3 linked regions of the Arabidopsis thaliana genome follow. The protein of the gene in region 3 interacts with the protein of the main gene of each other region in a pairwise test. Each region holds a gene or a part of one and is shown on either strand. Other genes may lie near its edges.

What was found.
Region 1: the proteins of BLH3 (region 3) and CIB5 interact in a two-hybrid assay, tested with the Arabidopsis thaliana proteins (one large-scale study listed by BioGRID).
Region 2: the proteins of BLH3 (region 3) and RGS1 interact in a two-hybrid assay, tested with the Arabidopsis thaliana proteins (one large-scale study listed by BioGRID).

Annotation. Positions count from the first base shown.
Region 1 is NC_003070.9:9,084,806-9,089,091, forward strand, and holds the start of CIB5 (cryptochrome-interacting basic-helix-loop-helix 5), read left to right. Parts: upstream 1-1,998; 5' UTR 1,999-2,408; coding exon 2,409-2,957; intron 2,958-3,030; coding exon 3,031-3,198; intron 3,199-3,283; coding exon 3,284-3,349; intron 3,350-3,450; coding exon 3,451-3,519; intron 3,520-3,629; coding exon 3,630-3,701; intron 3,702-3,789; coding exon 3,790-3,927; intron 3,928-4,031; coding exon 4,032-4,119; coding exon of another isoform or gene 4,120-4,157; exon of another isoform or gene 4,158-4,207; coding exon 4,208-4,230; 3' UTR 4,231-4,286. Other genes in the region: AT1G26250 (Proline-rich extensin-like family protein), read left to right, coding at 1-429; AT1G26255 (uncharacterized protein), read right to left, coding at 1-261, 316-433. UniProt on the Arabidopsis thaliana protein: Transcriptional activator involved in cell elongation. Regulates the expression of a subset of genes involved in cell expansion by binding to the G-box motif.
Region 2 is NC_003074.8:9,530,717-9,535,002, reverse strand, and holds the start of RGS1 (REGULATOR OF G-PROTEIN SIGNALING 1), read right to left. Parts: upstream 2,391-4,286; 5' UTR 2,121-2,390; coding exon 2,041-2,120; intron 1,605-2,040; coding exon 1,484-1,604; intron 1,389-1,483; coding exon 1,325-1,388; intron 1,244-1,324; coding exon 1,159-1,243; intron 1,055-1,158; coding exon 981-1,054; intron 887-980; coding exon 606-886; intron 521-605; coding exon 282-520; intron 205-281; coding exon 80-204; intron 1-79. Other genes in the region: AT3G26085 (CAAX amino terminal protease family protein), read right to left, coding at 2,606-2,747, 2,909-3,033, 3,118-3,180, 3,262-3,386, 3,482-3,542, 3,619-4,001, 4,092-4,161.
Region 3 is NC_003070.9:28,300,497-28,304,782, forward strand, and holds the start of BLH3 (BEL1-like homeodomain 3), read right to left. Parts: upstream 2,233-4,286; 5' UTR 1,907-2,232; exon of another isoform or gene 1,455-1,906; 5' UTR 1,395-1,454; coding exon 657-1,394; intron 579-656; coding exon 202-578; intron 125-201; coding exon 64-124; coding exon of another isoform or gene 25-63; exon of another isoform or gene 1-24. UniProt on the Arabidopsis thaliana protein: Transcription factor that is responsive of the nuclear import of SHOOT MERISTEMLESS (STM).

The sequences.
Region 1 (4,286 bases), about 19 Mb from region 3:
CCACCTCCATATGTTTACAGCTCGCCACCGCCTCCTCCATATGTATATAAGTCTCCTCCACCACCTCCTTATGTCTATACTTCACCACCACCTCCTCCATATGTTTACAAGTCTCCTCCACCACCTCCATACGTCGATAGCTACTCACCACCACCGGCTCCATATGTTTATAAGCCTCCTCCATATGTTTACAAGCCTCCTCCATATGTCTATAACTACTCTCCACCGCCAGCTCCATATGTTTACAAACCTCCCCCATATGTCTATAGCTACTCTCCACCGCCGGCTCCATATGTTTACAAGCCTCCTCCATATGTCTATAGCTACTCTCCACCGCCGGCTCCATATGTTTACAAGCCTCCTCCATATGTCTATAGTTCGCCATCACCACCGCCTTACTATAGCTCTCCCTCTCCACCACTATACTAACCATTTACATACATGATGAAGCGAGACTCAAAGTAAGAGTGTATTTAATAAGTGTATCCACACGGTTTAAAAGCTTTCCCTTTCGAGACGTTGTCATTATAAGAAATGGAATTATGTGTGTACTTAAATATCTATGTGCATTTTCGCTTTGGCTTTTTGCTTTTGATGTTGTTTTTCCTTTGAAAAGACCAATGTTTTGTCTTCCATTTATAACTGTTGAATAAATTCAATATTTTTTAGACGATCGGGTAAATATATTGAACAAACGTTGTAGTAAAGATCATATGGAAGTTTCAAGAGTCAGTAGCTCAACCGTTTATATCTAAGAACATTTAAAGTTAGCGGTATGATGGATTTGAATACCGACTGTAATAAAACTAGTTTAAATTGTTATATATGGCCGAAATTTATATGGAAACTGAAACTTGAAAGCTTTAGTATATCTTAGTTTCTATCTTAATTAGTACATGTATTGTAAAGGTCAATACGAGGATTGATTGATTCATTTCAACAAGAATATAAAGCGAAAATTTCCTAATTATATATTTTAATATATGTATAGACTTAGTCTAGGGGCATGCAATTAACATTTTTGATCCGGCATGGATGGTTCTCAAATTGGTATTCTAAGTTGATCATCCTTAAATGGATATTAAAATATTTTCAAAGTCACGAATTCGAACACCAACGCCAAAATATGACTGAAAAACATTATAAATTTATCATAGCTTAGTTTCCATACAAGACAATAGATCCATAATTTTTGTTTAACTAGAAAATGTTATAAAAAAAAAACAAAGGTATGGGAGAAAAAAAAACACATCCAAAACCACTGTTTAGGTGGGCTTGTCTTCAGGACGGGCACCACAACTCACCAGTTTTGAGAATCACACGACCTAAAATCACACACAAAAATCTAGGAAGAAATGATAAAAGTAAAAGGTGTGGGTTGAATATTCTTAAAATATTTATTTAGGTCTTTAGCAATTGAAAGTCCCAAGGCCAACTAATTATGTCCTCGGCCCTCGTGCTCACCGGACCGTCCAGCAGCTCCCTCCTTCACTTTTGCATAATAGTTTAACAATTTAAGTGGTGTCAAAAAAAAAAACGATTACAGCTTGATATTGGGTTGATAGGTAAATCGTGATAAAACATACAACATTTTTCTAAGCACATATTAAGTTGATCTAATCTAAAATGATTCTTTTACTTTCATAGGAGCTAGCTCGACAATTACACGAGTTGTGCTATCTTTGGATGGGCATGCATGTAAATTACTCTTTTAGAATTCCAAAATTTGGACCTATGACACTACTCACTAGCCAAAAATCTCTAAGAATTGAGATTAATGTCTTCATTTTTTATTTGAGACGTTAATTTCATCGGATTTGTTAGGCTTCTTTTGTATGAAATCCTTAGTTTTGCATTTGACCATTTCTCAAAACACCCTAACATTTTTAATGTTCAGATCATGGCTGTGTTTAATGTTTATGTTTAATGATCATAAGCTCTGTTTTTAATGCAAGCGTGGGTATATGAATTCAGGAACTTTTTTTTTTTCATTCTTCTTAAACTCGTTTTTAACTCTCCATCTCTAAAAAGACCATCAACGCTCTTCTCTTTATTGCAGCAGAAACAGAACCCAGTTCAATAAAGCTTTTTGGTAAGAAAATTTGAAAGGAAAAGATATTTGAAAACTCGTAGAGAGAAAGTGGCACAGAATCTGAAATTCTGACACTTTTTACCACGAATAATGATTCTCTTTTGAAAAACATGACTCAATGTTTTCTTTATCTTTTTCTCTGAATTAAGGTTTGTTTGTACTTAAAGTATGCTCCTTTATCTACCGTTGACTGATTCTACTCTTTTATTCTCAACTTTTCTCTGATTTGCTCGTGTGTTTACTTCAATTCCTCAGTTCTTGTGTAGAAAGTTGAGTTTCATGTGATCAAAATTGGGGCTTTACTACTTTTAAGAGAATGAGTGACAAAGACGAGTTTGCCGCAAAGAAGAAGGATTTGGTCAATACGCCAGTGGATTTGTATCCTCCGGAGAATCCAATGTTGGGTCCTTCTCCGATGATGGATTCATTCAGAGAAACTCTTTGGCATGATGGTGGTTTCAATGTCCACACAGATGCAGACACTTCCTTTAGAGGTAATAATAATATTGATATACCTCTTGAAATGGGTTGGAATATGGCTCAGTTCCCTGCAGATTCAGGATTCATTGAGCGTGCTGCAAAGTTTTCTTTTTTTGGATGTGGTGAAATGATGATGAACCAACAACAATCATCTCTTGGAGTTCCAGATTCAACTGGCTTGTTTCTTCAAGATACACAGATTCCTAGTGGATCCAAACTAGATAATGGTCCTCTTACTGATGCATCTAAGTTAGTGAAAGAGAGATCGATTAATAATGTATCAGAGGATTCTCAATCTAGTGGAGGTAATGGTCATGATGATGCTAAGTGTGGGCAAACATCTTCCAAGGGGTTTAGTAGTAAGAAGAGGAAAAGAATTGGGAAGGTATAGAGATTTGTAGCACTCCTTTTGTATTTTGTGTTTTTTGGTCTTTCGTTGATAATATTTCTGTTGGTAGGATTGTGAAGAAGAAGAAGATAAAAAGCAAAAGGATGAGCAAAGTCCAACTTCAAATGCGAACAAGACAAACAGTGAGAAGCAACCTTCTGATTCTTTAAAGGATGGGTATATTCACATGAGGGCACGAAGAGGCCAGGCTACTAATAGTCACAGTCTTGCTGAAAGAGTAGGAACAATATTTTTTTGAAGTTGAATAGAAAGCAAATTTCTTTTGTTGTTGTATTTGAATTTGGTTAAACTTGTTATCGTAGGTAAGAAGAGAAAAAATCAGTGAAAGGATGAAGTTCTTGCAAGATCTTGTGCCAGGTTGCGACAAGGTAAGTCCTTTTCTTTTTAGATGTTGATGTCTACATGTAGAAGAATGGAAGCTGAAGCTGTTTTCTTTTCATATAAATGGGACATTGCATTTATTGTGTAGGTGACTGGTAAGGCAGTTATGCTCGATGAAATCATTAACTATGTGCAATCACTTCAATGCCAAATCGAGGTTTCCCTTTGTTTGCTTTGGGAATTTCCTATTTTCTTAGTGTCTGTTCTTGAGACTTCATTTAATTAGCAACCTCACTTTGTGTTAGTTACTTCTTCCATGCATTTCAGTTTTTATCGATGAAACTTTCGGCTGTGAATCCTGTGCTCGATTTTAACCTCGAAAGCCTCCTTGCAAAAGATGTAACATATGTTGAAACCCTTCTCTTTCTTATCATTTGACGAGTAACTTCATTGATATGATGTTGATGTCTTCTATATATTCATGCAGGCTCTTCAATCATCTGCACCGACATTTCCCCACAACATGTCGATGCTTTATCCTCCTGTATCGTATCTCTCTCAAACAGGATTCATGCAACCGAACATTTCCTCAATGTCGCTATTGAGTGGAGGATTAAAACGGCAGGTACATATATTTGGTTGCGCATTGTACTCCAACAATAAACATATCTTTGCAGAATCATTTCTTTCTCTTGCATTCATCTAATATTGTTAGTGAGTTTTGAACAGGAAACACATGGATATGAAAGTGATCACCACAATCTTGTCCACATGAACCATGAAACCGGCACTGCACCTGATCATGAAGATACAACAGGTGAAAGTAAAAGCCCTATAAGTTTCATACTTTTGTAACCAGATACTTGAAACTCGCTAAAGCTTTTCATGTTTATCTGATCTTACAGCTGACATGAAGGTGGAGCCGTAGATGTTTCTTCTTCACTTTGTACTCAGCTTTAGCTGCTGATATAGTGCGCCGCGGTC
Region 2 (4,286 bases), on a different chromosome or scaffold from region 3:
AGGAATTACTAGTTAGATTTATAGAGAGAACACACGAGACAGGTCTATAAAGAAGAGGGAAGATGGATATGTAATTAACCTGCGACGATGAACTTCTCCATGATATGTCGAGCCATGTAGATTCTTCTTATCGAATCATCTTCCGGGATTTTACCATGTTCATACACCTCTTCAAAAAAATGCAATGTTTCTCCAGCGTAGCAGCTACCAGCATATAACGAATTAGTTTAAATAAATGGTGAAACCGGGATATATATGAGGTCAGGTATTGAATGGAGTACCTATCAGCAAATTCCATAAACGAATGGCGAAATCTTTTATTGAGAAGAAGCTTATCGAGTGGCTCGTTTGGGTCAACAGGTCGAAACTCCTCCTTCCGAAATAATAATCCGCTATCGGGAATGCCTAGAGCTTGACCCATTCTTTGAAACTCAAAGTTTTGTCTTTTCTTCAAGCTGATTTGTGAAAGAAGAGGTTGGTTACTCGAGATGGAAAAGAAGACAACGACGAGAATCCCACCCTGAAAGAAGAATCAACTCAGAAGTCTGTTAAAAAGGTATTCCAACTGCAAATATAAAGAACAGTCCTGGTATTAGCTTTCATACCGTGACTAAAAGCACAAATCTTGAAGCAACCTGAAGCCAAGAGATTTCTTCATGAATCTCATTCAACACAAACGCTGTTACCCATATAACGATTGAAGTGGCTGAGACGAGAATTCCTTTCCAGAGATCTCTAAGCTCGTCAAAACGAAACTCTACATGTCGAACTGCTCTTGTGAATGCAATTAAAGCAAGGACATAGAGAGCATGAAGGCCTGCAACTGGGAAAGTCCATTGAAGACCCATGTGGCATTTATCGTTGAGAGGCTTTGTTGCGTGGATAACTAAATGCAAAATCAAAAGCTTTGAGTTATTATTATCCAAAACAAGAGAAACCAAGAACTGCTCAGTACATATAACGTTCAGAACAATTCTTACTTGCAGCTCCGAAGATCCATGGCAACAAAACAAGGGGGAGGAAAATGTATGATTTTACCGGAGGTAGACGTTTCCTACATTGCAAAGAATATGTAACAACCAAACAGCATTAAACTCAATTACACCAATAGAGATAGAATTGGAATCCAAAAACATTTTGATCAACATTGAACCTCACTTGACAAATATGAAGTATAGTTGAAATGCCTGAGTTATACGGCAGCTCATCAACAAACCAAACCCAAGTGGTCCTTCAATCCACACTGAAACCAAATTATACAAGACTTATTGATATAACTGTCAATTTGTTTACGAAGATGAGGAATCATGGTTTCCAAACAAACCTGCCCAAAGATAGCAATATCGCCACCAATGTTTCGTCCTGAATCGAAGCAAATTAACTGACATCTGAAAATTAAATATAAAACAGTCTATTAGTGTAGAAACTCAACAAATGAAGTGATTCTTAAGAGCAACGGAATCATCAAGTCAAGTAGTCTAACCATAATTGAGAAGAGAAGGTTGAAGCTGGAGATAACTTGAATAACAGGGATCCAGAAACTGCTACTGTTAGTACGAGGAGCCTTATGAATCAAACACGGTAACACTGAGCGCGATAACAGCCTAAATAAACAAAGTGAAATCCATCAGATAGAATCAACTTAATAGAGAAATTGAACTACTTGGAAGTTAACTCATGATACAAATCCACTCAATTAGTCCATTAAATCAAGCTTTTGAACTTCAAATCTAAGTTCAATAATCGATTCCGACATAATATATGAATCTTGCTATCAAGATACTGAAACCATCTAATTCCCAGCTAAAAGAAACTGAAACGAAACAAAAGACAGATCTTTTGATACATAACATCAAACACTTACAATACAAAGAGTTAAAATAGCAAAGAGAGACATCGTATGAAAATTTTAAACGATTAAAGACACAAAATTCGAGATTTTGACTCAAGTCAAGAGTCAACAAGCAAACCCAGTAAATGAAAAATCTAGATCTTCAAAACTAAAACCCAAAAATGGGATTTTTAAGCTCGAACACATACACGAAGAAGCAGATGACTGAAATTGCGACGGCGACGTAATCGCTGGGACAACCACCATGTAGAGCACATCCACTCGCCATTTCTATTGTAGCATATCAGCTCTCTCTTCTCCACTCGCTTTCTGGGTTTTTGAGATTTTATTTGGTTTCAAAGCTTGTTGCTTTAATGTCAAGGTAAAGTGTGCAAATTTCTATAAATTCAATAAAAGAAACTTCATTTATCGATGTTGAAACAAAAAGCTTTAAAAGATTCACACTTTCGCATAAGAGAAGAGACGTCTCTGTCTCTTCATTGTTCACGTTTCTCTCTTCTTCTCTGACTTTTTTGACCAGAAGACACTTCCTTTTTCCGGTAACAATTCTGATTGGTTTTTCACTTTTCACTTCTATAATTATAGATTTTTCATACTTGTCCTTTGTGACAAGTTGGTACATTAAAATTACAATAACCACCCTCTATTATAGATTTTTGACATAACCACCCTATACTATTGAGAGATTTCACAAACCCACCCATTAAAATTGTATACTTTTTTAATTCAACCCTGTTGTAAATTTTGTTTATTTCACTCCAATGACTTGATCTTGGAACTATATCGCCACAACAGACCTCCCACCAAATTGTTGAGTGCGTGCGAGGCCATTGGAACGATAAGACTCGACGACAAAACAGCTGCATAACCGTAGACTATACCGACAATCGAAGCCCTGAAAATTTCAAGAAACCGCAAAGAATTCAATAGGAAAACCTCGGAAATGTGATAGAGAGATGCAAGAACATGTTAAAGGCAATCATCTAATATCAAGATTCGGTCTACGCAATTCTCATCAGCATTGAGGTACCAAAATGTTCAGTAAAAACGGCTTACCAAACTGCAAAAGAATACTTTCTTCCGCTCCCGAGATGAAGTAAACCGAAAATGAGGCCAACCGCTACAATACCATTCCAATTAGTTCCGAACAAAGGCATTAATGCACCTCTAAACAGCAGCTCCTGTGAATACACCAAATCAAACCAATGAACGACATTTTCTAAAGGAGAGCCTTTCTGTGTTTTATTGTGATTGTTTATTGTTACCTCACTTATTCCCGGTAACATTGCAACAACAAGGTAATCTAGAGGTTCGAGGGAAGTGAGAATCTGCAAGTAGTGAATACCAAAGGAGACAATAAGCGGAGTTTAAAGAATCGTATAAATGTATATAATGTGTAATGTTTTGACCTGTCGGTTTGCTGCTTCACTAGAATCAGCAAAATCTGGCCAAGATTTAAGTAGCAAGAACCTACTTGACGATATAAACACAACGATTCCAGCAATTAAACCGAGATGCCAAGTTTCAAACCCAACTGCAAGAAAGATCATGCAATACAAAACATGTTTTGGTTACTGAATCTCTCAAAGGATTCTTAGTACACAACATAATCGTTTTCCGAGATGTTACATGGTACATCTATAGAGCAGTCTGGAACCAGTAATCCTTCAGTCGAAGCAACATGAGACGCCTGCAAGCGGTAACCAAATCAGCAAGATACAAATGCTAGAATCACAAAATCATAAACTTTCAGATTTGGGATTCACCTTTCTGATGATCAGACCTAGTGCAGCCATCAAACCGGAAGTTACAGTGCAAGCCTGAAGCACTTTGTCTCGAGGAGCAGCAACAAAAACATCAATGGAGTCCTTTGAAGTTGAAGAATCAACTTGAGCTTCCTCAAATCTTGGAGAAGAAACTTCTTCATCTGTAACATTTCTTAAGCCTATGTCTTTACCTTGTTGTGACTCTCTTTTGAGTTTCTTAAGTGATTTACGACTTGAAGAGGCTCTTACATCAAACTTAAAACCCAAAAGACAAAATAAACAGACTATAGTATAAGAGATCATCTGTTCGGACCAAGAAGCGGCAACATTAAAGAATCTTACTTGTACTCTTCGAGCATCATATAGCTTAGGGTTCGAGCCAACTGATCATCAAGTAAGCAAATTTCAACCAAAAATCTTTGTCGAATTCTCATATATATGATCATATCAAGTTAGGAATCGCACTTACCTACCTGGACGAAAAAGGAGATGAAGAGAAGTTGAAGCTCCTCTGCTCCAAGATTGCAGAGCGATGGAACCCATCCGAGATTTTCGCCTGCCTTCTCAAAGTTTGTCGCTTTGATTCATAAGAGAGACTCTGTTTCCAATATAAAACAAATGAAGAGTTTCACGAAGAAGAAAGCGTCGAAATGAGAGGTCTGTGTCTC
Region 3 (4,286 bases):
AATTGCCAAGAATCAGAATACCACTCATATAAAAGCAAGACCAAAGATTGAGCCAATAAGAACCTGGTTTTTCGATAGTCCTGTCTGCTTTGAAAGCATGATTTTCTCTGATTCTTTAGGATATCTACAAAAACGATTGAAATGGTTATCAATGAAGCAATGAGGAGCAGAAAGAAAGTGTCTTACAAACAACAAACTTACGGATGAAGGAAATGCTCAAAGAGCCAAGCTCGAAGTATAGAGACAGAGTTTTCAGGTAAGCCTCTTTGTGGTCTCCAAGCTGGTCTAACCATTCCAAGTTGTTGATGCAAAGCTCTCTGTTGTCTCAACCGTTGATCTAAGTACCTAAGACGCGGTATCCTCTCTCCTTGTTCATCAGAAGTCTCTCTCTCCCCAAGCTTCCCTCTGATCACCTGAATCTGTTCTTTTATCGCGTCGCGTAAACAGCGGAAATGGCGAGAGATTCTATTCAGAGCTACGGATGTGTAAGGCTTAGCTGCTCCAAGACCTGTTACCATCTCGAAAGACGATGCTAAAGCTTCCATTTGATGATGGTATTGGTTATACCTTTTATCTACCTGCAAAAATGTTTTCAAAACTCAAAACTCCAAAGTCTCTCTCTCACTTTAAAGTATTCAAATTTGATTTAGTCTTACCTCATCCACCATTGTTAAAAGCTTGCTCTTCTTGCTCTGTAGCTCCTGACGTTCTGAAGGAGACAACTCCTGCGATTGAGATTTATCATCTTCTGTAATGTTATCACTAGACCCATTGTGAAAGTCTTGACCTTTATCATTCTTCATCTTCTTATTCCCCAATTTCAAATCTTTCCTTACACTAACAACTTCATCAAGCAATTGTTGTGTTGGTTTAAGGTAACGAGATCTCAGTACACTACTCACAAACCCTGATGTCTCGTAACGGTAATTGTTGTAGAATCCAACACCATTATTACCATTGTTGTTGTAAACAGAGGAAGGTAAAATTTGATCAGAGTGATGCTGATGAACACTCAAGCTCTTCCCATTCTCATCAGACATAGTAGAAGGATTAAGATTATTGTAACTCAATTGGTTCGAAAGATTCTGGTAATGATACTGAAACGGAGAAACAGAGACAGCTGACTGGATCTGATTACCAAGACTTAAAGAAAGTCCTCCACCGTGAAAGCTTAGATCGTTACTTGACACCGTTACGTTTCCGTTGACGGCTACGTCGCTTGTTGGTGGGATAAATACCATCTCGTTGTTTCGAACATCACCGGAAACAATCTCGGAGAAAGATGCAGCAGAGGAAGAAGAAGCTTGTTGTTGTTGTTGTTGTTGTTCGTTGAGGTAAATGGATTCTTGGTAAAGAGATTGCATGCCGACACTATTAGGGTAATACACAGCCATTGGATAATAAATCGAAAGTGTTTTGTTGTTTAAGTGAGTTTCATCCGATTGATGTTTTGTCTGAAAAAAGAGAAAGAGAGAGAGAGAGACGTGTGAGTTTGAAACTGAAACTGGATAAATAAAAGAACAATTCTTTAAAGAGGTTAAAACATCTTAATCTCTATATACGCCGCAATTACAGATGAATTCAAGAAATGAAAAAAATATGAAATACTCAATTTAGGTCAAGAAGATATCAAAACCCTAGGTAAAGTTTCCACTTCAATTCAGTGACGCAAACAAAAACAGAGGATGATGTTTGAAATCATGAAAGATATAAAGTTAATTTTTTTTAAGTTCTGATGATTTCATACTTTTGTAAGAATTTAACAGAGACGAAGATGATGATAAAATTCGAAAAAGGAAATCTTTTTGTAAAAAGAGAAACAGAGTACAACAAGTCAATCATATAGCTTTGAATCAAGAAGCTACTAATAAGAACAATCGAATTATTATAGTTAAAGAAATGAAACCTGAGAAAGAGCTAGATGATAAACTATACAAAAGAGAAAGAGAGATTGTGGATGTGGCTGAATCAGGGAACAGAGAGATAAAAAGGGAGAAGAAGAAGAACTTCGAACAGTCGATGACAAAAAGAGAGAGAAAGAAAGAGAAGACACCCAATCCCAAGAGACGATTTTTATTAAATTCCGATACTATTTTAAAACTTTATTTGGCATTCACTAACAAAGAACAGAACCAAACCATCTTATCATTGGAACCTCGACAACAAACCCAGATTTTTTAATTAATGTTTAATAAAATATCAGTGTATCACTAACCTATGGAGAAATTTGACAATCTCTATTCTCTACCAGTAATTCTTTTTTGTTTGTTTTTCTATTCCAACCGAAGCTTCTATATTAAAATTAATAATTTTTTGTTGGTTTTTTTTCTGTGCCAACCATTTAGAGAATAACACGCGTGAGCGGAAATTTTCATATTTTTTTTCCTTTTCTCTGATAGGATTATTGTTAGATAATGGAGAATATTTATACAAATGCGACTTTTTATATGCATTTATATTTCAAGTTATCTGATAAAACAAAAGAATATTATTGGAACCAGAAGGAATACTGTGCAGTGTTGTCATTGACTTGACTTGGTGCTTATATTCAAATAAATATAATTAAAAATAAAGTATGTTTTTTAAAATGAAGAAAAGAGTTGAGTTTTCGTATTCTATGTTTTTATAAAGTTTAATTAATAGCTTGGACATAAATTCAAGCAACCGTTGAAATTTTTTACTATTAAAATTTTCCACCAAAGCTTTGTTAGATTAAATTAACTCAAGCAATCTCAAATTAGTTGTGGTTGTGATGATAAAATCATGGGTTAGTCTGAACCAACAGATGCTTTTATTAATTTCTTTACATAATTGCAGATCCCTGGTTATAAGCGAACGAGAAACATGTGTTACGTGACATGATACTTCATAACTAATCTATGATGTTTTGATGTATAATTGTTAAATTATTATAACGACGGAACTCTCTAAAAAGATTGTGATCAAAATTAAAATTAAACATCTTTTGAGGTCTCCTACTGTTTATACGTTATATACTTGTTTCTTCGCGTAATACATTGGACACACATACTCTTATTAAGTGACGTGCAAAAGAGGAAACTAATTAACTCCATTTTTTCAATATCTTCCTATTATTTACATATTAAAAATAAAGATATAAGTAGAATTGTCAACAAATCAATATATTGAATATAAAGTAATTAAAATTACTAAAGTATCCCTAGGCCTAGAGAATTTTGATTTGCCAGAAATGTTGCTTTGAGGAAGAAGTGTTGTGTCTGCTCAATTGCTTAATTGAGGGATTAAAGGACCTTAACAACCAGTTGGTGACTACCCAATTTCCTTACTTGGAACGAAAAAATCCAATTAGTTGACTAACAAATAAACATATTTTCTTAAATAATCAAGTGATTCATTTGACCTACATGAAGAAAATGTATTTATACGCAAAACAATAAAATGAAAAGAAAAGTTATGATGGGTCGATTCCATGTCCCAAAGGATCTAAGGAGGTTGTGTAATAAATAATAGAAAAAGTAGAATTCGAAAGAAGATGATGAAAAATGAAATAAATAAGGTAGCTGTGTCGGACGCGAAGTTGGTGAAAGTGGCCAAAAACGAAAGACTTGGACGCCAATTTGTTTCGTAGAGACGTTCCTTAACGGAACGAAGCTAACGGCTTTGTGTCCATCTTAATAAATGTTATTCTTATTTCAATTTCTGTATATTTCGTTTATTTCTTTTATTCTTTAATGTTTTTTTTTGTTTTTGGTTGAGTTTCGGTTTTGTCATAGATTGGAACAGCCGACACAAACCTTTCAAGGAGAATCAATGTGTTACAACAAATTCTTTTTTTATGAAATTTTATATATTTATGAGTAGATTATTTGTTTGTTTTTAAATGTACAACTGATAAACCCTACACACAGCTGGTTGAATATGGGAGTATATACAGTGGGAAAGTTTGAAAGGATCAAATATTTTTAACTTTCTAAAATAGGTTAAATGAATGTGGTTTTCTAAAGCTATTTATGATGAGTATTCTTATGAATAATAATATTATACATATCGTGAGTATATAATTTGAAGAAGATGATGAATCGATGATGAGTGATGATGATAGTGCTAAATGAGGAAATGACGAGTAAGAAATCAACAGCTTTTGTTTGGACAAAAAGCTTTTTGTACACCTAGCTATATGGTATGACAGCTAATAATAATTAATATCCTTAAGATATAATTAATCGCAGTTGTTAATCATAAATAGTCGGACCGTTTAACCACATGAGTTTTTCCTATTTTCAAGAGCAATCTGGTTAAACTAC